Linked DNA regions of Caenorhabditis elegans. The protein of the gene in region 2 interacts with the protein of the main gene of each other region in a pairwise test. Each region holds a gene or a part of one and is shown on either strand. Other genes may lie near its edges.

Evidence for each region. Proteins that work in one complex are often made in the same cells at the same time.
Region 1: the proteins of hmbx-1 (region 2) and C18E9.8 interact in a two-hybrid assay, tested with the Caenorhabditis elegans proteins (one large-scale study listed by BioGRID).
Region 3: the proteins of hmbx-1 (region 2) and irx-1 interact in a two-hybrid assay, tested with the Caenorhabditis elegans proteins (one large-scale study listed by BioGRID).

Annotation. Positions count from the first base shown.
Region 1 is NC_003280.10:8,983,704-8,991,065, forward strand, and holds C18E9.8 (DUF7754 domain-containing protein), read right to left. Parts: upstream 4,360-7,362; 5' UTR 4,319-4,359; coding exon 3,845-4,318; intron 3,787-3,844; coding exon 3,454-3,786; intron 3,409-3,453; coding exon 3,154-3,408; intron 3,109-3,153; coding exon 2,693-3,108; intron 2,646-2,692; coding exon 2,511-2,645; intron 2,465-2,510; coding exon 2,317-2,464; 3' UTR 2,197-2,316; downstream 1-2,196. Other genes in the region: C18E9.9 (MARVEL domain-containing protein), read right to left, coding at 4,804-4,959, 5,012-5,116, 5,617-5,835.
Region 2 is NC_003279.8:986,491-994,146, reverse strand, and holds hmbx-1 (Homeobox-containing protein 1), read right to left. Parts: upstream 4,477-7,656; 5' UTR 4,465-4,476; coding exon 4,005-4,464; intron 3,627-4,004; coding exon 3,109-3,626; intron 2,652-3,108; coding exon 2,355-2,651; 3' UTR 1,969-2,354; downstream 1-1,968. UniProt on the Caenorhabditis elegans protein: Transcriptional repressor which maintains cell fate asymmetry of AWC neurons in adults by repressing the expression of multiple AWC (OFF) genes, including srsx-3 in the AWC (ON) neuron.
Region 3 is NC_003279.8:9,534,269-9,543,822, forward strand, and holds irx-1 (Putative iroquois-class homeodomain protein irx-1), read right to left. Parts: upstream 6,699-9,554; 5' UTR 6,618-6,698; coding exon 6,597-6,617; intron 6,065-6,596; coding exon 5,603-6,064; intron 5,403-5,602; exon of another isoform or gene 5,263-5,402; intron 5,008-5,262; coding exon 4,648-5,007; intron 4,148-4,647; coding exon 3,937-4,147; intron 2,931-3,936; coding exon 2,851-2,930; 3' UTR 2,197-2,850; downstream 1-2,196. Other genes in the region: C41G7.7 (uncharacterized protein), read right to left, coding at 111-199, 616-727, 774-794; C41G7.15 (Saposin B-type domain-containing protein), read left to right, coding at 1-42.

The sequences.
Region 1 (7,362 bases), on a different chromosome or scaffold from region 2:
AATGTTATATTTTTAAGATTCAATATCGAAAAACAGTTTCTGACAGTAAAAACTATTTATAAATTAATAATACAATGCGTTCCGGAAGCTTTATAACTTGTTTCCTTTGGAAACATCATACAGTAAACAAGCAATGAAAAAATGGAATGTGAATCTTACATTTTGAAAGCTTACTTTATAACTTTGTATATCAATGGGAAAAATTAAAAATGAATGAAATCTTTTAGAGCTTTTGTTCAATGTTTCTGCTTTATATTATAAGAAAACAAGGAAATAGTCTAGAACAATAAGATTGGAAAAGTGAGAAAAATGTTTGCAATTAATGAGTCAGACACATTGAATGCCTACACTGATTACGTGTTTGACGTCACACGCGCGAGAAATGTCTCTCTTAGCAGAAAATGGCTGGAGCCACACGATGAACAGGCGGCAGAAAACAAGCTAGTTTTGGCGGACTCCGCGGAGCCACTCAAGCATCCCTTACGACGCACCGGTGGTGCTGCTGCTGCCTCGGGTTTGACACCTTGCCACACACCGATTATTATGAAACATTTCGATTTTATGGTGTCCGGGGTTCCGGATTGTTGTGATTGACCGAAAGAACAACGAAATGGAATTTGCAAACATTTTGAAATGAGTGCGGGAGGGCAAGAGCAATGGAATTGGAGCACGGAAGTGTTTGAGAAGCATGCGATAATTGACATGGATACAATGAGTAAGCGCACAAGTGGACAGACATAAGGAATGTTTTCAAGAGGAAAGGGCAACCGGGAAACAAAACTGAGTTGAAAATTAGAAGAAGCTCAGATTAGTTTATGAAGCAAAGTACTCATATAGGTACCAAAAAATTATTTTTTGTAATAACTTGTTTTGAAATGACCTACTATAGTTTACCATAAAAATTATAAGCCGTGCGGTAACTTTCTCGATTAAAAACTTTTATCAATAGTACAAAACATCCGTAATAAAACATTGCATTTAAAAGAATTTCGAAAAAGTATACAAAACAAACAATTAATTAAAAGCACAAAAACTGCGATCAACGTAAGTGAAAAAAACGGTTCGACCAATTGTAAGCCGAGCTTAACCACTTTTCCTGTCTCCTCCTCCCCCTACCATCCAAATGACCAACCAAAAACTAAGAAAAGAATCTTCCGAAAAGGGAACAAGAATTGCGCACAAATTAGTGAGGTGTAAGTTGTGAAATTCGAACTCGAAGGCAAAGAAGTGACAATGGGAGCCCCCACCACCACCAGCCAACAGTTCGTATTTTCGGCTCCGCGCAAGAACGACGACGTTTTTGTTTGTGACATTTGTTTTTTGAATAGGAAGTCTGTTTGAACAAATGTCGGATGATGAGGTTTCAAACGAGCTTAATTGTTTAAGTAATTTCTTGAAAAGGTTTCAACATGGAAAAGTAAATTGATTCAGAAACACGAAGTAGTCTGGGGTTATTTTTGATACATAACCAAACGTTTGTTAATTTCAAAAGTAATCGTTTAACTTCCTTTCTTATTGGGAAATGTACATTTTGTGGTAACTGAAAGGTTTTGCAAAATCTTAATAATGGGAAAAAATAATTTCGGAAAACATATAACAAAATTTTCGTGGAATGTGAATCCTGATGTGAGCTAACCACCAAGTCTCATAAAATGTCAAACTTCCGAACTGGCAGAAAATTGAAATCACGGGATTGAACAATCAGTTTTGAAATTTTTTGGGAGGAAAATGAGTGCACACGAATCAAGAGAAAACTGGAAAACTTTCTAAAAAGTTGAAAAGATTAGGCTCCGAAAATTAAGCGAACGAAGAAACAAAAAAGAAACCAGTGACGAAAGACTTTGGCATGACTGTGAAAGGATCAGGCAGCTAGAGAGAAAGAGAGGTGGAATAGCAGAAAAGTGGCAAAATACGACGATTCCAGAGTTGGCGAGAAGCATGCTGATCGGCGGAGACGCACGCACATACCATCCGGTCATTGTTTGCATTTGCTCAACACGCCGCAATGTCCCTCAACGGGAGCCGCTACGGGAGAGTCCCTCCGGGCTACTGAGACTGTCTTCCGAGCAGCAGCAAGCAGCAGAAAAGAGCACAACTCAGGCGCTTTTGCGTATTTTCGGATTATCGACCCGAACGACACATGTGTTCGGAGCTTAATTCTGTAATTCTCTGCAAAAAGTGCACAAAGGGAGGTGTATGATCGAAGAAATGCTTTATAGAGAATGGTTGGAGAAGCATAGCATTACAAATCACAAGTCCGGAGCAAATAGAGAAAATAAAAAACATTAAAAATCATACAGGAAGTTACGAAAAATACTAGTCGACGACAATAAGCTCCGTTGGTTCTCCAAATGCGTGATCCGATGCCAGAGAGTTCAACGTGTCAACAGCTCGACCTTCTCCAACAACCACTGCTTTACCACGTTGCAAATTGACAGTACGGTGGTGGAAAGTTGTAGGAAATCTGTAGAAGTAAGTTGTTGAATGAATGAAAACTTAAACTAATAAACCTAGTAGAAAGCCGATTGACCATTGGATTCAGTCCCCATCCACTGCACATTCTGTCCATGATTCCTTCATGAGTACGATCCTTCAAGATTTTCAGTTTTCCATGTCTCTCCAAAACCTCGGCAAGTTCACGACAACTGAAATATGAAACATAGTGATTAATTGGAACTTTCTCGAAACAAACCTTGACTCGGCTCTTTGAATATTGACACGGAGCAAGTTTTTGAGATCAAACTTGTCTCCAAACATCAATTGCGACATGTACTCATCTGGTGTAATTGGTGGCTCAAATTCATTTTCCAAGTTTTCCTTGACAATATTCCATCCATGATCGAAAGCAAAAACAATGCAAGCACGAATCATATCCGGATGAGGAACTTCTCCCATTGGATGCATGTAGGTGAGAAGTTGAACAAGAACTTCGCCAGGGATCAAGTCTCCACGAGCACATTCGCGATGAAATTCTGCAGTGTAACGAGCAATGTATTCTCCATTTTGACCAATACAAAGCATTTCCTTTCCATGAGCGGCAAGTATCCCACTGTTGATGTAGAAGATGGTTCCACGGAATAGAATTGCAGACTTGGTAGTGTCACCCTCCTAAATAAACTACTTTATATTAAACTTTGTTCAACATTGGATTACCTCCAATTCAATAAATTTCAAATTGTTCTCGGGCTTCTTCAAAGTTGTCGCATCGGGCTTTGCATTTCTTGCCAGCAAGATAGCGGGGCACACAATTTTCGTGTAAACTTGACGACCACAGAAGTTCTCAGGTTCAAATCCTGATTGAATCATCTGGTTCCATGTTCCGTCCAAAGCTGCACGGAATGCAAGTTCACTGATAGCAGGCTCCAATCTATTCTCAATCGCTGCTTGAAAGCGTTGCAAGAATGTCATCTGAAAATAGTTCATTAGAAAATTTCAAATAAAAGAACTTCAAACCGGTCTGTAATTGTAGTCAATGAGATGTTTCGACAACTGATAAATCAAATTGTCACACTTGTAACCAACGGCTCCAGCTGTCAAACGACGGAATGATGCGAAAATTGGACGGCGAGTAGGATATGCTTGGTAAAGAAGTTCGAGGAATGCTTCCTTTTCAGAGCAAGTTGCTTTGATAGCTGGGCAATCCGTACGAGATGCGTACTCTTTTTCCGATTTTCCCAAATAATCCGACAATAGGGAGAGGATGTTTGAATGAACACGAATACGAGATCCATCGTCGAATTCAATCACTTCATCACCTTCCTCAAAAGTTGGGAGATCCAGGTACATCTGAAATAGTTTATAATTTACAGATCAATAGATTATAATCTCAAAAAAAAAAACTCACCAAATTCAACACTCTCATTTCAAATTTCAAAAATTTGACGTCACTATTCTGAATTTCCACGTTCAGAGGATATGAAAATGAATCAAATTTATAAACATCCTTATCAACAACATTCAAAATATTCGACTGACATCCAGTTTTGATTCTGAGTTGAACAAGAAGTTGCCATTCAGCAGGAGTTGTTGCTTGCACAGAAAGATATACACGACGAGTACCGTTTTCCATAACTTGCTTGACTCGAAACTGAAGTTTTTCGAAGATGAATGAGTCCTCTTCCTCTCCATTTGGTAGATTCTGATCATCAACGGCAATGAACACAATTGGATTCGGATTCTCCACTGTTTCCTCCACCTCTTCTTTTCCTCCAGCTTCTTCCCTCAACGCCTTCTGACTCTCCTTCAAAATTTCCAAATCCATTTCGTGAAAACTGATTGCAGTTTCAGCAGACAGAACTGACAGCTCCGATAGCGACATTGTTTTGATTTCGCTTCTACGTCTTGTAAATTTTGTGAAATAAATTTATTTTGTAGTTTTCTGGTTATTCGGTTGTTTTGTTGTGACGTGGTATTTGAAAAATGGAAGGCCACGGATGTCATTTTTTGAAAATTAATTTTGAAAAGAAACGCCAATTATTTTTTCATTTAGCCATTTTCAACTTCAACTGCGTCTCAACAAATGTCATTACACATTACCATACTTGCAAATCGGGAAATGAAGCTTTTGCAATGAGGGCGAGGACAGATGCGGGCTAGATGCACTCTTGTTTAAGCCTCGCCGTTATCCTCAGCTTCCAAAAATATTTTAACTAGTTAAAGGAAACACTTTATTTTGTTCAAAAATGTCAACATGTCAAATGTAGGAGAGCAAGAGAAAAGAGTGAGAAAGAAGGGGTTTTTGTGATGTCTCGTTAAAAAATAAATAAGAGCTATAAACCGTTAAAATTCGTTTTTGTTCAAAGCTTATGCAGGGTTGGCTCCGGCTGGATAGACTGTTGGTGGTGGTCCAGCAGTTGCTTGGTTTGAAGTGTGTGAAGAAGAAGTTCTTGAAGCAGACATTGAAGTCCAAGCCATGAGTGCTTGAAGACCATATGCTAGTACAAGAAGTACCGATACAATCTGAAAATATAATAATACTGATTCTTAAGTTTTAGTATCTTAAAAAACAAACAGTTGCCAAAAGGAACCAAAAATTGAAATGATAGAAGATATTGCAAAAATAGTAAATAGTGTTGAGAGCACTGCATACACAGAATGCTCCACTGTATGCGAGTTCCTGAAATAAATTATTTTAAAACTTTTTGCCTGCATTTTTATAACATTTTTCACATCAATGAAACATTTGATAGTAGAATCAGTATTATAGAAAAATTACGGTAGACAAGAAATCAGACAGGCAGGAATGAACTCGTCCTGATTATCATGTTAAAATAGTTGCAAATATTTTAAGAGACATTACTAATAGCCTAAATATATTCGAACCTATACATATTCTTAGCTGATGTGAATAGATATTGCCTATGGAGAGCGAGAGTTCAGCTTTTAGCAACATTTTGCAACATTTAGCAACATTTTGAGCACATTCTGAAGTCAAATCAAATAGTAGTACAAATCGATTTAATCAGCTTATTCTTTAATTTCCCGACTATCAATATAAACAATCGGCGACAACTCATTAAACACCTCTCAAATAAGTTGTAAAATTTCTGCCAAAAACGAGTGAAAATTTTACCAAGAAGTTACTGCATTCGCTATTGATTTAAAATTCTCACTCACAATAATCACAAACTGTCCCGATCTTGTAAAAGTTAAATCTAAGAAAACAACTGCAACAACTGCGATAGCCGCGAGAAATTCCAGAATCGATGTGAGGCAAATGAACCAAAACCATCCACGGACTCCTGGTGAAGCCATAAAGATAATTTGAAGAAGTGTGAGAAGCAGGAGTGCTGGTTTCAGCACTCCAGGCATTTCCATCATATCTTTGTAAGCCATTGTTTTCTGAAAAATCATAAAAGAGTTACTGAAAAAAAACAAGTAAAATATCAAAAGTTTCAAAAATCAATAGGGAACCAATGGAAATGAGGTAAAATCGAGTAAACAGAAACAAGAAACAGGTTTCAGAGTCAGCCGGTCACCGAAACATTCTGAGTCAGCATAAACTACCTTTTCAGCAAACACTCTTCTCTCTCATGATTTTGTGATAAAGTATTGTGTTCTAGAAAGACTCCTTTTATCGATTGGGAAAAAAGGACGAAAAAAGGAAAATGTATGTGAAGAACAATAAAGGAAGAAAAATAAAGAAATAATAAAAGTTGGGAAATTTTGAAAGAAAAGGAAAATGAGGAAAAGGAACAGAACATACAAATTCAAGGCGTTTGTTTTGTAAGCTTAATTCTATTTCAAAAAAACTTTAAGAAAAAGTGTACGATTAATTTTGGACGGCCAGTTTTAAGAGTCTACTTATAAAATTCAACATTTAGAAAACAAAAGAATATTGTGAATTATTATTATGAATGAACGTTATGCTTCGAATTTTTCTGTGAGTTAAAAAATGTTTATCAAAATTGGGGGGAGCAAAAATATTAGAGCCAAGACCAATTTTCGAAAAAGTTGTTAGTGCTCTACTTATGGAGAGCCTCCGATAAATTTCCAATTTCTCTATAAATTTCCATGATTTTACCAATATTGAGTATTTCTGAGTATTCAAAATTTTAAATTTCTGGTGACCAAATTTGAATATTGTACTCCTAGAAAACACAAACAATTGCTACTAGTTAAAAAAACAGCACAGATCACAGTGAAACACTAACTATTGTTTCCAACCACGACTTGATTAGGTAACTTTGATTTCAATTTATTTAGACATTTACAAACAAACAACTACGTCATTGCATGTATTTTCTTATGAAACACTTGATAAACTCGTGAAACTGTCTAAAATGTAGGAAGAAAGTCAAGTGACATTCACTATCAATATAACCTTCAAATTGTGAAATATTAAAAGTTAGAGAGCTCCGTGTGCAGGAATGGATTGTGCCACATCATTTATCCGCACAATGCAAACAAATAATTGAGTCATTTCCATTCAAACATGGATCACCACCATCAAACACACATTCATCGAAACGTGGAATATGTGTTTCATTTATTTATGCACGATTGGTTCGAAATATGTGCAACTAAAACTTCATTGTAAAAAATAACTTTCTTTTACATGAAAACGTAGCTAATTGTAAGATTATTTTATCATTGGACAAAAATTATTTGACTTTTTTTAATCTGGAAAAAAGTGGCTAACATCTAGGTTTCACATATCAAAACTGTGTATGTCGTCCAAAAAAGTATCCTACGAGTTTTATATTTTAAAGATGCTTCAATCGTTCGGATCAGAACATTGTTTAGGTTTTAGCCTACAGTAATCATAAAATTTGAAAAAAGTACCATATTTAAACAACTTGGCAGGTTGCCAAAACTTTGAAAAACATTTTGAAAATCAAAATATTTTGTAAGAGTTTATAT
Region 2 (7,656 bases):
TCTGGCACAAAAAGCTCCCACTGGAATTCGGAAATTTCAGGATTCGCACCCCCATCTCTGCCCATATCTGTCAGGGGTATCTTTTTTTTTAGTTTTTGGAAAAGAAAAATGGGGTGTTGCTGACTAATTCACCACACTTTTTTCTGGTGGGTTTTGAACTTTGTCTGTGCCTTTTAGGAGGCGTGATGGCCTAGAAATCCCGAAATGGCCTAGAAATTTTAAGTTGGCCTAGGATTCCATAATCGGCCTAGATATCCCACGATAGCCTATAAATCCAACCGTGGACTAAAATTCGCAGTATGACCTAAAACCCCAAAATTCTAAAATTTCCAGTTTAACCTAGAAATCCGAGAATGGCGTAGAAATCCCAAGATGGCCTAATTATTCCAAACTGGCTTAGGAATTTCAAGATAGCCTAGAAATTATATTATGATTGGAAAACTCGAAATTGGCCTAAAAATCCCATGATGGCCTAGAAATCCCAGTTTGGCACAAGATCCTCAAAGTGGCCTAAAAATGTGACCGAAAAATGGCCTAAAACTTCCAATTCGGCCTTGAAACCCAAAAATGCACTAGAAATCACAATATGACCTAGAAATCTCAAGAATGGCCTAGAAATCTCAAAATAGTCCAGAAATTCTAGTGTTCTAGGCAACCCAAAAAAAGGCTTGAAAGTGCAAAAAGTTCGAGAGTATTGCAAAATTTGAAGAAAAAAAATGCTGCAACTGCACTCCACTGAGAAGCATACCAAATCCACGCCGAATACAGCAGAAACAGGAGCAACACATAATATAAACGCCTTCTGGAGAGAATATATATTTCTCGTTCAATTGAATATTCATTCAGAGCCACCGCCGGCCGGAATATCACATGTCTCGACACATATAAGTAGAAAAAATATGCAGATTTTTCTCGCCAAGAGCCTTCTGGAGGGAAAAATGAAAAAAAGAAATGAATTTATAGTCGTAATATTTATATGCGTGTTTCTGATCAATTTCTGATTGGATTTTAGCATGAAAATAGTGATAAAAAATTGGTTTTATGATTTTCGAAGAGTTTTCTAGAAAGTAGTTTTAGTTTTGAGATCATAGAGTTTAGGGGGAAAGGTGGCCTAATTTTCTCACGTGAGAGAACTAGATCTAGACCTAGACATAGACCTAAACCTATAACTAGACCTAGGTCTAGAGCTAGACCCAAACCTGGCTTAGAAAGACAAAAATCAAACGTGGTCTAGGAAAATAACTAGGCCACAATTCCTGATTGTGAGGACCCGTTTACCGTAAGGTTATTCTATGACCTAACTTTTCACAAGTGGCATAGAAACCCAAAAAAAACATTGGCCACAGTTGCAACTCAAAAAATTATATGGCCTAGAAAAAAAAGCTAGGCCATATCCTTGGAAGTCGCAAAGTCAGTATGCGGCCTAACTTACCAAAATGGCCTAGAAACTCAAAAACAATAAAAATTGGCACATTTTGAGCATAAATGACGTGTTTCAAATCTAGATACGACCCCCCTCAAAAAAAAAATGGCGGCCACCCTCTTGAGCGTGGGAAATTGCGAGGGAAAAAACTCTCATATAAAATGGAGAGGGGGTGGTGAAAGGAAAATTCCAAGGGATTATTACTTGCGCTCTATTGATAAACTACCAGTGTACTCCGCGTGGACAAGTTTCAACAAAGTTTTAGAACTTCCAGGTCACTCTGGAATTTTTTTGATGGCCTAGTTTTCCCATGGCCTAGAAACCACAAAATAATTTAACATTCCAATTTTGAAATCTTTCCGTATAGATGAAAAATTATTGTGTACTCCACGTGGACAAGATTTGGAAAACTGTTGCATTTTACAGATTTTTGTATTGTTCCAAATTCAAGTTTTTAAAAAAAAATATCTTGAAAACACTGAACTTGTTTCACCCCTCGGTCAAGTGCAATGGGGCGCGTTTGCAAAGTATTTCATTGAATTCTAGAACTAGAAAATATTTATTCTCGCTTGAAAAATAACAAAAATTGCACAAAAAATGGAATTTCCAACAAAATTTCAGGGCAAGCGATACATTACGAAACGCGTGGAGTGTGAAGCAAATATTATTCAAAAAATGTTTTTGAAGAAACTCGTACTTTTCAAATATTAAAACAGCAGTGAAACACAAAAAAAACAAATTAAATATTATGAAAAATCGATTATTGATTGATTTTTGGACGACGGGGCGTGTGTGGGGCAGGGCGTAAGAAACGGAGCATCGTTTGTAATATGAAAGAATTGAGGTTTTCGTGTCATGGGATGAAGAATAAGTTGAATAAATGGAAAAAAGATATTGGTGTAGAAAAGAAGAAAAGAAAATTAGAAATGCTTCACTCAGACTTCAAAATAGAAGCCGGGTTCCCGTAGAACGGAGCCATTTGAAACGGGAAAAAGTGTGTTGGCAATGTTGGAAATGGAACCGGAAGCTGAACTCCAAGCTGTTGGGCCATGGCGAAAAGTTCGAGAGCTGACGGCGATACTGATGGAATGATTGTTGCTGGAATTGAGATTGGCGAGGTTGTTGATGACGTGGCAGAGATGATGGCAGACGGGCGGGACACTTCAAAAGTGGACACTGCTGGTGACGGGGAGATTGCTGTCTCCGGGGTTGTGTTACGGGAGCTTGTCTGCAAAAAAAATGGGTTAGAGGAGACAGGGAAAGTTTTTTTTGGATCATGGCCTAGAATATGGCCTAAAAAATCCTAGGCCACGGCAGAAATTTTCGTGGCCTAGAAATTTGTGTCTAGACTTAGACCTAGATCTAAACCTAGACCTAGACCTAGAACTAGACCTAGACCAAGACCTAGACCTAGACCTAGACCTAGACCAAGACCTAGACCTAGACCTAGACCTAGACCTAGACCTAGACCTAGACCTAGACCTTGAGACCAAACAGACACATGTTTGCCAAGGACTGACAGGTTTACCATCACTCTCAAATAAATAAAACTCCAGAAATTTAACCTCTAGATGGTACATGTTTATGACTTAACTTGTGGGAAAACCGGAGGGCGATTCCTTATAAGACCTAGAAAAAATTCTTCCACCCAGAGTACAGCGTGGCCGAGAAATTAAAACTCTCACCTCTTCATCGCGAGGGCTCATGCTGGACACACTGACAGAATCATGATTAGCAGTCGATGACGCAGAAGACGAAGCGGACGAGGTGGAGGCGGCCGAAGCTTCAGCGGATCTTCTTCTCAACTCCTTCCGCTTATTTGCAAACCAATTCGAAACGACTTGAGGGCTGACCACCTCCTTTGGCATCAACCCAACACCTTTCTTATCCATCTTCAGAACGTGATTGCAAGCATTCGCTATTTCGACTCGCCGTGGAAGATCTGGGAATGGCGTTTGTGTGAAGAACGATTCGAGCATTCGGATCAGAATTGGACGAAACACGTAGCGTTCTCGACGTTGTGGGATCAGCTCGCCATCTCCATTCGTCTCGAGGCGAGTTGTCGGATCGGCGAGGAAGGCAGCGAGTTTGTTGGGATGACGTCGGCAGTTCAGGTACCAACAGTAGATGTTCTTACGGCAACGGAGCGATAGTTCACGGTGGTTGCCGTTGAGCAATTTTGAAATGTACGGCTGGCTTACTCCTGGAAATTTAGAAGATTGACATGGCGCAGTGGGTAGCAACTTCGCCTAGGAATTCAGACGCCTCGGTTCGATCTCAGCGCGGGTGGGGCATATCGCAGTGGCTAACAGCGAAGGATAGATATCCAGGCACCGGGGGATCGATTCTGGTGCCGGCTGCAGAGAATTGCTCGCCTAAGATCCAGAGTCCCCTTTTCCCTTTAGCCAACTTTATTTCATATGACGTCATAGAAGGAATCAACTACAGTAATACTCAATTGCACTGTGGCTAACAGCAGAGATTAGGAATCTAGGCGCCGGGGATGTATTCTGATTTATTTCTGGTCACGGCCTAGATTTTAGAAAAAAAACTCTTCCACTACACTTTTTTGGGAACTAACCTGTCATCATTGCTACCGTAGTCTGCCGCAACGAGTACTGTGTGATGAACGTCTTCATATCCAAAATGCACGCCTCCTCGCCCTGCTTCATAAACTCCTCCAGCTCATTCGGATCGTCCAGTGTGGTAATCTCCTTCATCGGCGTTCGCTGACTCCTAATCGGCCGCGGAGCATTCGAGCATATCGGATGCTCAAATGGTGATGAGCAATTTGAAGATTGTGGCTCTGACTTCACAGGTGTCGGCACTGTCTGCACGGTGAGTTTGACTGGAGTCTCTGATTTGGGTGTTGTGAGATGTTGGACCAGGAGTGGGCTGTACAGGGCTGCGGCAATTGTGTTGTTATTCTGAAGCTGCTCTGGAACTTCCAGCTCGCCGAAAGCCTTGAGCAACTGATCGGATGACATCCCGGTGTGCTGCAGCTTTTTGATGAGCTCCAGTTGCTCAATTGTGAATAGCATTTTTTTTTCGTTCTGCAAAAAAAAAATAGTATGAAAAAAGTAAATAATAAATGTTGTTGTGTAAAATAAAATTTACTACGAGGTTTTATATCAAATATATATACCAAACAATATAAGGGCGTTGCTGCTCAATAACAACATGATAAGAGGTAGAAAAAAAAGATGGAGTATGATAGAAATTATATATTACTACAGATTTAGTGAGGGGGAAGTTAGGCCAGATGCCTGCTTTTTTTGGGCCTTAAGTTGTAAGAACCATGGTCCTAGACTTGGTAAGCCGGCTCACTGGGCTAAAAGCCTTCACCTACCAGGCCATTCGGAGGAACATCAGATATAGCATTATAGTAGACTAAGCATGGGGGTCATGTAGATCAACCCTCTATTTCAAAAATTTGGATATTTAAAAAAAAACTGTAGAAAAGTAGGAGACCAAAGTTCAGAGCATAGAGAACAAAACCAAAGGAGAAACAAAAAAAACAAGATCACCTCTCCAAAAACATATACATATAAGAAAAGGAATCTCGAATCAGGTCGGTGTGGTCTGGCAGATCGAGGTGGGGGGCGGGAACGAGCGTACTGGGGGAGAGAGACGCAGATGTTTCTTTCTCTCTCAGTTTCTGCGAAAAAAAAAGCACTGGGCGGAGTCGTAAAGTGCAGTGTTTACCCCGCTGGGGGAGAGAAGAACTACGGGAAAACTTGGGTCAGATGTTTGGAACACGCCCCTTTGGAAAACAATTTTTGAAAAAAAAATTGCAATTTGTCATGGTGCATCGTGGGGGTCAGTCTGGCCGCAAAATTTCAAAAACTAGAATTTTGAACTATTTTGAAATACAAATGTTCTATGTTTTGTCTAAATACAGTTATCTCTAACAATTTTTAAATACCAAGTTTTGGCAAATTGCCAAAATTCTGAAAAATATGAGCTTTTGAGGAAATTCAAAGCAATATCTTATGTTGCGGCCCTGTCTTGTCCTACAATGTTTTAATACAAATAATTAAAACAAAATTACATTATAAAAAATCTAGAAAAAACATTTTGGTCGACTTCCAAAATTATGAGTGGCAAAAACTGAGTAATTGTCACTTTTTGACTGTGAATAAAAAAATTTCAAAAAAATATTGAAAAGTTTTATTATGATATTCGGTACTTTTCGGACCAAAGGAGTGGTTTTTAACAATTTCCCCACTGGTGCTACTCCACCTTTAAGCCAAAAAATTTGCATAAAAAGAAATCGAAGAAAAAGGAGTTGCATTTTTTTATAGTTAAAAAAGTGTATAGAAAATATACAAGAAAATGTGTTAAGGTATGTAGAATGGAATATATAAGAAAAACAAGTCGATAAAACGCCACAGCAAAGAGCAGTTTTACAATCAGGTGGGAGGGGCCGGCAGGCGATCTGGAAAGATAATATATCTACATTTATGGCTCCCAGTCAACAGAGAGGCGGTTGTAAAACTACATATTTACGGAGAGGAGATGTACATTGGTGTTTTTTGGGGTGTTAGGGATATTTGAATCTAGGGCTATTTCAGACAAAACATTTTTATGCTAATTTTAGTTTTTCTGAGAAATTTTGGATTGAAACTATAATTTGAGTAGATTTTAGCATCGTAAATTTCAGATTTTTTTAAGGCTGAAAATTCCATAAAATAAGTATAGAATCATGGATTATAATGCTTTTACTGATATTTAAAAGAATTTTGTACTAGAGGGTCTCGCCACGATTAAGCCCTGTCACGATGCATCATGTCTCACAATCAGTCAAAAAATGCGCTAAGTTTGAATAAATTATTTAATCGTCAAAAAAGCAAAACTCGATTTGAGCCAAGAAAAAACGAAAAACTCAAAAATTTCCAGCAAAACTACAAAACTGAAGCGTTAAATCGTGACTGTCAATACATCGCGTACTTAACGCATAGCTATTCTGATAACAGGAGAGCGAGGCGAACTCGAGCAGGTCGTCACGACCCTATAGTCAACATGATAGGCTCTTGTTAGAATGACATGATTTTGGATGAAAATTTGCTGAAATTTCGTATTGAAATAGAGGTAAACACTCGGAACAATGTAGTTTTCGAGCGTGGATCTTTCAGGACATGGTGCATCGTGACATGTCCCAACATGGCAGGACCCTTTGGGACATGGTGCATCTATACCTCAACCAGAGTGCTAAGTTTCTTTTAGGACTGTTGCAGAAGAACCCTTCAAGGCATTATGGATCGTGACATGACCCAATTTGACGTTTTGGCAAATGACTAGCGCGGCAGGGCCGCGCCAGCCTTTCGGGAATGGGGATGCCCAAAAAGGTAGCTTGCGCAGGTTCTCGGCTTCGCCTCAAACCTGAGATAGGGATATTCGAGATTTCCTTAAAATTTGGGATCGATTGATTAAAAAACGAAGTCTCTGCTATGGTTTTGAGCTGAGATATGAGCGATTAAAGTTTGAGGAAATCTGGTTAGTTGGCTTGAGCGAATAACAATTTGCTTGGAATAGGATTAAAGCTGGCCCACAGTTTCCAAAAGTGTTCGGGCCTGCGGCCCTCAGCCTGAATTATTGAGCTAAGAATAAGAACAGTATTAAAAAAATGCAGATGCATCGGAACTGAACCTGTTATAATGAATACAAAAGTCGCGGCACCCTACCTAGCAATAAAGCATCTTTTAGGACATGGTGCATTGTTTCAAAACCCAAATACTAAGCTCCCAGCTCCACCACCTAATAATATGTTCAGGTAAAATAAGTTCATCACGTCCTAATAATCGTATGCTGGTTTGATGCCACTTCCAAAACCCCCACACTTTGTGACATTATCAAACCGTTGTCAACTATGTGATAACGCAATGATTACTGGCGGTATAATATGCAACACTCGTGAGGAAACTGGAAACAAGTACGCCACGACCTTGTTAAACTTCACTTTATTGGAAATTGTCGGAAAAATAACTAAAGATTTTGTTTTGTGCTCAAAGCCCCCTTCCCAAAATGCCTGTCACAATGCACCATGTCACATGGATCTCACCATCATTCACTATATATATGAAGCGCTTATTCAGTGTGTTCATAGTTTGTAGTCTATGTAGTCTTTGTAGTCTGTGAAATTTTGGCTTCTGGATAAATAGTGAGTTGGGGTTAGTGTACGGATATAGTCGGGGTACTGTAGTGGTACAATAGTGGTACGGTAGGAATACTGT
Region 3 (9,554 bases), 8.5 Mb from region 2:
AACACAGTCAAAGGCCCAATTTGTAGTCAAATTTGCTCGTAACACTGAATCATTAAAATTTTTAATTTTTTTTGTTTGAATATATCAGTTATTCCTATCCCAAACATTACCTGTCTGTCAATAGTCTTTGGCATTCCACCTCCTCGTTTTCTGAACTTTCCATGCTCATCAACATCATCATATCCTTCGATGTATGTATCTGAAAAAATTGGAAAGTTTGTCAGTACGAAATAAGCAACTAAAACTTTCTTGAATATTAAAAAATATTTAGGTAGTTGCGGAATTGAACATCAAATTAACTTATTCTTCTTGTCAGAAACATCCACATATATCATAATTGAAGACTCCAAAACATTTTTCAAGATTTCAAAATTTTAGCCCAAGTTTTGGTAAATTTAAAAAAAAAAAAAAAAAAAAAAAAAAAAACATTTTACAAATTGTGACTTTTTGAGGTATTTTGAGCACTTTTGAAGACTGTTGACAATGTGTGAATAATAATACTTGAAAGGTAATTGAAATATGAACTAGAAATAAAACAATTTTTTTTATATTTGCTATTTACAAATTTCGGGAGTTATATAAATAAATAAAATCCCATTATAATGCATTGATTACCATTATTCCATGGAGGACGGTTATCCATAGTTGACTGGCTTTGACCATTTTGATGAGGTTTTCGGCTTCGAGACCTTTTTCGATCTTTCTCAATACCATCCCGGTGAACATCCTGAAAATTTAAAATTAGTAAAAATTAAATTAAGCGGGTAACTTACATATCGGTCAACGTTTGACATTTTTGAGATGTTTTTGAACAAATAATGAAAAAGAAAGAATGGTGAAAGGATTTCTTGAAAAATATTTTATGTGCTCAAATGCGCAGGATGTATCCATAGAGACAATTCACTTGCTCATGCTTTTCCAAATTGTATAGTCATGAATAATGGAAAAAAGAAAGAAACTTTGAAATGTTGAAGGATAAAAGCAAATACAGCATAGAAAAATACCACATTTTCAGGTATTTCAGGTATTGATTTCTACAAGTTTAATTGATAATAGCAAGTGTTTAAAACAGTTAACTAAAGATTTGAAAACATTTTGAGAAGATTTTTTAATTTTCAAAGATGCAAAATGAGATTCCGGTATTGTGCCTAAATATTTTTTCTTTTTTTTTTGTATTTTGGAATAATGCGATTATTTCAAACGATTTAAAGCACATTCTGCCTTTATTGCATTATGTTATCTGAAATTAGAATCCACGATTAAAAATTATATTTTTTGAAACAGTTCTAAAATGTGGAACATTAAATATAAAGGTGGCAAATTTGGTTTTGTCTCATTTCCAAATTTTCCAAGAATCCAGACAACACAAATTCATTGTTTTCTAAGCTTCACCGATGTTTGTTTAGACGTCGTTGTCGTATCTCATTTTCAATTAGGCGTTTACATGGGTCACCGAGATGTGGAAAAATAAAGAGAAAATGCATGTAATTCCTTGTTTTTAGAGATATGGTGTGTGTGTGTGTGTCTAATGAATGAAATCTGCTGTTTTTGTTTTCACTGATTCATTTTTCACATTAATTTGAAACTACGCTTTGTAAATAGTAGGTCAAAACATTTAACAAGACAATACATAATCTGGAATTTTTTTATCAAGTGGAAATTTATTTATTTTATCAGATTTTTTAAGAATCATGATATTTCTTTTTAAAAAAAGCTTCCAAAATGTACATATGTCTACATTTACACATCCCCTAAATTTCAAGAGGTCGGCAAAAAACAGTAATGGGAAAATAAACTAAAAAGACTTCAATTGAATTTTTAAGTGGAAATTTAAAAAAAAAACGCTAAAACGTCTAAATATCATTGTGAACCTTTTCAGAAATTTTTATTTACAGCCAAAATGTGGTGATAACTTAGTTTTACCAATCATAATTTGACAGTCGACCAAAAAAAATATATCATCAACCAGTTTTATACGTTTTTAATTTTGTTTCTATAACCATTTGTGTTTTAAAAATTCTATGTTTTTGAACATGAAGCAATGCTCAAAATTACTTTAAAAGTGCACGTTCTTGATAACCGAAATGTTGTCACTAATTCAGCCTGCAATTCTTTGAAATGGTTGCAGTATTTTGTGCAATTAAATGTATATCCATTTTCATGATTTTTTGTTAGCTTAAAATATATTCAAGAAATAAATATTAAACCTTCTTCATTTTCTAAATTATGCGTGCAGGTTGTTGTATCTTTCTCACAAAAAACTGTAAATTGTCAAAGAAATGAGATGGGATTGTAAGAAAAGTGGGTTTGCGTGAAGAGATTTGAAGCGAATTGGTGGGAAAAAGCAAGAAAAAAAGAAAATTGTTTCTAAAGTACTCCAATTATTGGCGGGAAATTGAGAAAACCGATCATAAGCTCAAAAACTAGATGCATCCTGTGAAAAATTGTGTGGAATTGAAATAATAATAATGTTAATAATGTGAGAAAAAACTGGGAGAAATTGGGGGAAAAAATAGAGAAAGAGAGACAAAAAATTCATAGTCATGGAATTCATATAAAGTTTAAAAGAACATAAAAAAGCAAATGAATGAGAAAGAAAAAGCCTATATGGTGCTACAGTAACCGAATGAAATTTTTGATGGGATGTGAATATTTGGGAGACAATACTGTACTGTACATAGAGAGAGACCAAAATAATCGAAACTTAAATGGGATGGAGAAAAAAATGAAATTCAAAGACCCGCTGTTTATATCATATTTTCTCGATTTCAGAGTTCTTAGTGGAGGAGGTGAAACTTTGAGAGAGTACAATATTCATTTAAAAAAATTAAACTTAATAAGCTGGGGTTTCTACTCTTGGTGGGACCGTGGAGACGACGTTGGAGAAGATGCTGGAGATGGCGTCGACGTCTCCGCTTGAGAGTTCAGACCTGAAATTATTTATTCATTAAAATCAAGGCTTAAAAATTGTTCAAAGATTTTTTAAATATTGTATATTGCAATAAACCTAGGCACCAAGTCAATTAAGCTATATTTCAAAAGTTTTTGAAATTTTTAGTTTTTGAAAGTTTTAAGATTGAGTTGTGTGAAAAATGATCTGATTTTTTGAAAATTATTAAAATCTCCAAAAAGCTTTCAGAATGTTTTTTGCATCTAAACAACCTTAAAATCACTAAAATAATGTAAAATCCGGATTTAGAGCAGCTTGACATGCTTGTATTTGAAGGAATGCTCTGAGAAATTTCAGTTCAACGTTTCAAATAAGACTAGGCTTTCTAGTTTTTCCCCATATTGGTCAACTAGAATTGCTTTTACATGTTCAATAAGTTATAAGAAAGTGTTTCCCATCAACTATACGAACGGATCAAATCGGCAATTTATCATTCGGTGACTTGACTCCGGGAGCAGCGCTCCTTTTTTGGACAAAAACTGAGTGACGAAGAACACGCGGTTTAGAAAAACGAGCACACTAATCCGTGGGGTCAATGAGGAGACACTTACTTCAGTTTAAGCCCTTTTTCGTTGCCTTTGACGTTTCGAACAAAATTATTACATAGAAAAGAACTCCTCTTTCTGAGCTAAAACATTTGAAAAGGATCTAGAACTTAAGTGTAGACCCTCTTTTGTTAATGCCTATCTAGAAGCTGTAGCTACTGAACTTTCCCCTTATAATGTGTATCAGAAAACATACACCTATTATCAGTAAATATGGGATGATTAGTGCATTAAATAGCAAAAAAACTGAGCGTCACGACAGGATAACAACTTTAAAATTAAGAGGATTACGTTTCGACTTTTCTTGTTCATGTACAAGCACGCACGGTGTTCAACTAGCTGTCAATCATTCGGAATACCCAAAAAAAGAATGATAAGAAAAAGCAGACAGGTTGCCATGTAACAAAATGTAAGAAAAGTGTATTCACCTGCTCACCTCACCTGCTTCATTTGGAGGAGTTGTTTGTGGTGCCAAAAGTGCAAGTTGTTGCCCTTGAGCAGCTTGTTGGGCTAGAAGTTGGAACATGAATGGGTGCATTGTGTGACGGAACAAAGTTGGATCCAATCGTGCCATTACTTCCATTTGTTTTTTCATTGCGTTTTGGAACAAGCTTCCCGTTAATAGATTTTCGTCTGATGATGGTGGAGAATCCTAAATAAAAAGATGTTTGCTAGGGGTTACCATTATTCATCATCTTGAACTAAATTACTTCACTTTAACAACTTTATGAAAAATATAAGCTGCCAAAAGGCACTGCTGTATGCTTCAATGTATCTTCCAAGTACAGTAACCCATGCCTAAACTTTACAATATGACCCCCTGATCTCCCATCAATTCCTTAATGTACTTTATGAAAATGTATAAAACCATCATTCAATCATGTTTGTTGTTAAAGCGGCACAGTTTTGTCGGCTGCTTCACACTCACCTCACAAGTTTGCACATACACACATACAAATGATTCATACTAGTTTACATCTCTATAAAATGTGCAGAACAAGATGAAGGGAGAGGAGGACTCTTTATTTGCCCCTACTAAACATATAATAGTTTTTAAGTCCATTTCGTAAAACTGTTAGAATAAGAGGGAAGATGGGGAAAACTATAAAATCTGTACAATGTATTTTATGATCTAAACTTTTTTGCTCTCACCTTCTTTGATGAATCGTCATCTGAAGTGACATCGGCAATCGACCACATTTTTGGTTTACGCTTCGGACTTTCAGAATCATCATTTGGAATTGGGGATACTAGTTCTTTCTTCGGTGTTGTCAACTCATCTGATCCTCCAGATCCTCCCGAAGGCGTTGGTGATGCTAGATGTGGCTTTCCGAATAGGGATTCTCCTTTTCTTTCGGAATTTATGGATGTTGAGCTTGATGGACGGTTCATGTCATCATCATCGTCGTCTTCATCGTCATCACAACCATCGCCTCGTCGATTTTGTGGTGACCAAGTCATCTTGTTCTCCTTCTTCAGTCGTCTTCTGGCGTTAGCAAACCATGTCGAGACCTGTAATTAAAAATATAAATTTCAAGCTTCGGCTTTGTTTTTCGGGCTAGAGTTTATTTTAATAAAATAACTTCAAAGTTTTGGTTCAAACAATTTTAAAATCTAATTTTTGGCGCCAAGGTTGTGTGTTGTTGGTCTATTGCAACAAAATCAAACAAGTAGTAGCCCTATTTGGTTTGAAACATTTCTCGTATTGTGTAAAGAATGTCTCTCGAAACACATTAATTAAGCGGGGTACGAGGTGTCATCATCATCGCTTATCGCCTCTGTACATCTTTTGTTTCTCGCCCCTCTTTTTTTGGCATCGGTCAAAAAAGGAGACATTTGCCCCCGGGGTTTGATGGCCGGTGAGTGGCTAATGTTACAATAACACTGCGGGAAACACTGTCTACTACATTTTACAACAATATTTTTTGTGGTATTTGTAATTGATGACTAGAGGCGGCTCTAAAATCCCGTGTGAGCTAATAAATTGAGCAAATATTGTGGAGTAAATTACGAGATTACGGTTGGTAATAGGCTATTACGGCTATTAAATCATTTCACAGTGTTGCATTTACTAATTGTTGTCAAAACAAGAAATAATACAACATACCTGTGTAAGTGTCATTCCTGTACCAACTGCCAACATAACTTTATCAGCTTTTGATGGATATGGATTCTTTCTATGAGAATGAAGCCAATCTTTGAGTGGTGCAGTTGCTTCTCGTGTTGCATTTCTTTTCTTGATTCCATCTAAACCATATGGATGATATAAACGATGAGCATCACTGAAGAACATGGGCATCGGTCCTGGCCCTCCACCTAATAACATTTCTGGTTTCAGATCTGCTGGAATTCCATGTGGAAACATCGGAACTCCGGGGAAGCCAGCAAGAGTTGCTTGTTGAGCGGCGGCGGCGGCTTGAGCTTGAGCAGCGAGAACTTGAGCCATGGCAGGATGGAAATGAAATTGACCTAAAAGGTTTGGTGGCAGAATTCCGCGAAGTGCATCCGGAGCTGAAGTGGGTGGAGCAGGAGTCGTTGTTTGTGGTGTTGTGGGCTCTTCCATTTTGACCTGGAAATGGATTTACTTTTCTAGTCAGGTGAAGTGAAGGTATCCAAACGAATAAATCTGACATTTGGCATCTAAATTTTTTGGAAGGAAGTATTTTGAGACTGTGTTCAAATGTTGTCTAATCTAAGATTTATGTAAAAATTGGTAGGAATCGAAAACGAAAACCTTGTCCAAGCTTTGACAACTTCTCAACTGCAATTTTCTATATTAGACTTGCACCCCCCTCTTCCTTCACTTTGACAGTTTATATCTCAGTTCTTTGTGGTTTTATTAAAAAACTTCAAACGGACAATTTACTTGCAAAATAATTTTCTATGTTTTGGTTGTATAACACTTTTTGATAAAGCTGAAGGCAACCGAGATATAAACCGCCAAGCAGTGGCGGTGCAAGGTTAACATGGCAATTGGAAAGAGCAGGAAGTTGACTCCAAGTGTCAAGAAGGACAAAAATGAAATAAATAAATGTAAGAACACTACTTGAGAATATAGAAATTATAATTTAGCTTATTAAACTTATCGCTTAAAAACTGACCTGATTGGCAATAGGAATCATTGTGATGGTGTAGTAGAAGTAGATGTGTTGATCTCAGTACAAGTGCAGAAACAATAGTTGATAAGTATGATTATTTATGATCTGAAGAACACATTGATATCAGTTATAATTCCAGAGCAGTTTTTTGTTGAAAAAGATAGACAGAGAGAGTGAGAGAGAGGCAGAGAGGCGACGAAATCAAGAGGGAGCAAAGGAGGAGCGATTCAGTGATAAGCATAGAAGAGAAAGAGAAAAGGTTTGATTGATAATTCTTGAAGAAATTGAGATGATGTAGAACTATGTGGGACCTTATGTTCAACAACTTGTTGAGCAATCTCGATTTTCTGCAGATGCCCGCCCGGGGCCGTGTGTGTCTCTCTCTCTCTCTCAAGTCCCGCCCACCATCCAATAGACATGGAAGCCACAGGGCGGGGCCTGGAGAGTAGGGAAAGAAATTGAAGAAGCGCAAAAAACACGTGCGAACACGTAGATTTAACAAGATAAACCGGAGAAATTCACGAAGAGAAACGGAAAAGAATCGGAGTAAAGAGAAGTAGAAGAAGATGATGATGAAGGATACAAGAATCGAACGGAAAGAAAACAAATTGATGATATGGCAACTAAAAGAGATTGAAAGATAAACAATTAACCGTTCCAGCTAATGATTGTAAGAATGATGATGGTTTTGATATCTTACTATTTCATTGTTTAGTGTTATTATTTCCAAGTTTGATTCTAGAATTGTTATTTTTGTGCAAAAAAAATCTTTCGAACCTAATACCTCTCTACCTCTACCAATTATCAAGTTTGGGAATGAAAATTAAGAAATACAAGAACCAAAAATCTCAATAAATGTATTCACAAGGACGAAGAGCAAACAAGTTGTAAATTTGCTGGCTGGCTCACGAATGGAAACTGAAAATTGAAGCAAATAACGGGAAGAGGAAGCTTTGGAAGGATCATTGCATAGAGTTTAATCCGAAATATTGGCAGGATGAAGAGAAAAAAAGTATAAACATTTGAAAGTTAAAAAGTAAAACGACGGAAAATCTAGAGAGTACTATCAAATGACCCGAACACACAATGGCGCCACGAACAAAAAAAGGACAAAGGAGAAGAAGCTGAAATCAGTGAACTTAAGTCAAGAATGATACATCGTAGAAGCAATTAGGTAATGGTCAGAACGGTTTGTAGGGGGACAAGAATTGAGAGAATAGAAGTTTAAAATGGCATGTCTCTTGTTGTCCGAAGCGGGGTGTAAAGAAGTGTAGCTGCTGGATAGGGGGCGCCGGCGAGAGTAAGTGGCCAACGATGGCGCTGATGACGATGATGAAGAAAAAGAAAATGGAGAAGAAAAAGGTAAAAAAAGAGGACACGGTGTAATACATTTACTATTGTGTCAGTTATTGTGTTAACATCTCTCTTTGGGTCATTCGATCATTTAGTTATTACAACATGTAACAACAACACATATATAGTAACATAAAGTTGCAACAAAAAAAGTTCAATGGCGGAAGTTTGTACTAATACAGGAAGATGTAGGTACATATGAGCCAAACAAGACAAAAAGGTGTATGGTAGGGAGATTGATGTCAAACGATGATGAGAAAGCGATGGAGGAGGAGTCATTGGGCGGAGTCAATCGCCGGGGGAGGAACACGGGAGGTAGGAGGGTGTAGACATGAGGTCGCGGCACAATTTATGAGGAGCTGGAGCCAGAAGATGATGAAGCTGTGGAATTGAAGTAGAAGAAGCAACTAGTTAATGGGTTTTGGTGCTTTCCAGAGAGCGGTGTTGTTTTTTGTGAAAACACTGCTCACTTTTTTGTTAAATACATGGAATACGGTAGTGGTTGCAGAAAGGAAATACTTGGAGGTAATTAACGGAAAAGTTAAGCGTTCCGTTTAATCGAAAAAAGCGGGAGAAGAGTTGAATTCGACGGTGAAGAAGAAGTTGAATGTACCCAAGAGATTGAAGAACATTTGTTGATTTTTAAGAACTTCCAAAATAGTGGTTTTCCTAACTCATAAATGGGGTATTTTTCAACGAAGAAACTTGAAATGATCCAAACACGCAAGGCTTTTCCCTTTTAAAAGTTTAAAAGCTTCAAGCTAAAAACATTTGGTATAATTTTTAGGGATTTTCTTTGCCGCCGTTGTTTTTTATAGCTTTGTCACTAAAAAAATTTAAAGACCGTTAATCCAGAAAAATCAAGAGCAAAACCTGCTATCATAAACTTTTCATCGCGTTTTTTTATGAAAATGAAAAGTTTCTATATTGAATTTACTACTTGAATACCGAGCATTCGGATTATTACTTTGTTTTAACCAAGAGCAGATATAGAAAAATTGTCTGCCAGTATACAACTCTATTAAAGTTGCAATAATCTCTATGATACCCATAATATAAGTACGAGAGTGTTTTTGAATACATTGCCATATCTATAATTACAGTTCTTATTCTAACAGCTGGTAGAGACACCTTCTTGCCATTGTACCAAAACACATCGATCAACTCATACATCATGACACGTGTCTACAAAAAGGGGCATGAACTGGAAGAACTTTAGCAGGTGGGATATTTCAGATGGTACAACAATATATCTTAATCTGATCTTGCTATATAATATGGAAATTTATGTCATGTTATATACGTGGAACAGTAACCCAACTGTTAACATCGTCAATACCTGTAGTAGGAATTGATGAGATAAGACTGATACGCGGGACGATATATATTCATAAAAGTTGGTATTTACGAGAGGGAGAACAATCTAATATCACATTGTTTTTGCGCAAAGGAACATGAATTGCCGTTGTCGAAAAACGATGTATGGAGCCGAGGGGCGCAAAAAAAGTGAAATTGTGTGTTTTGTGTATGTTTCCTGTACACGAAGAGCGCGAGGAAAGAAATGTTCAAACACTTGACAATCCGTGTTAACGATATGTTTGTCTCAGA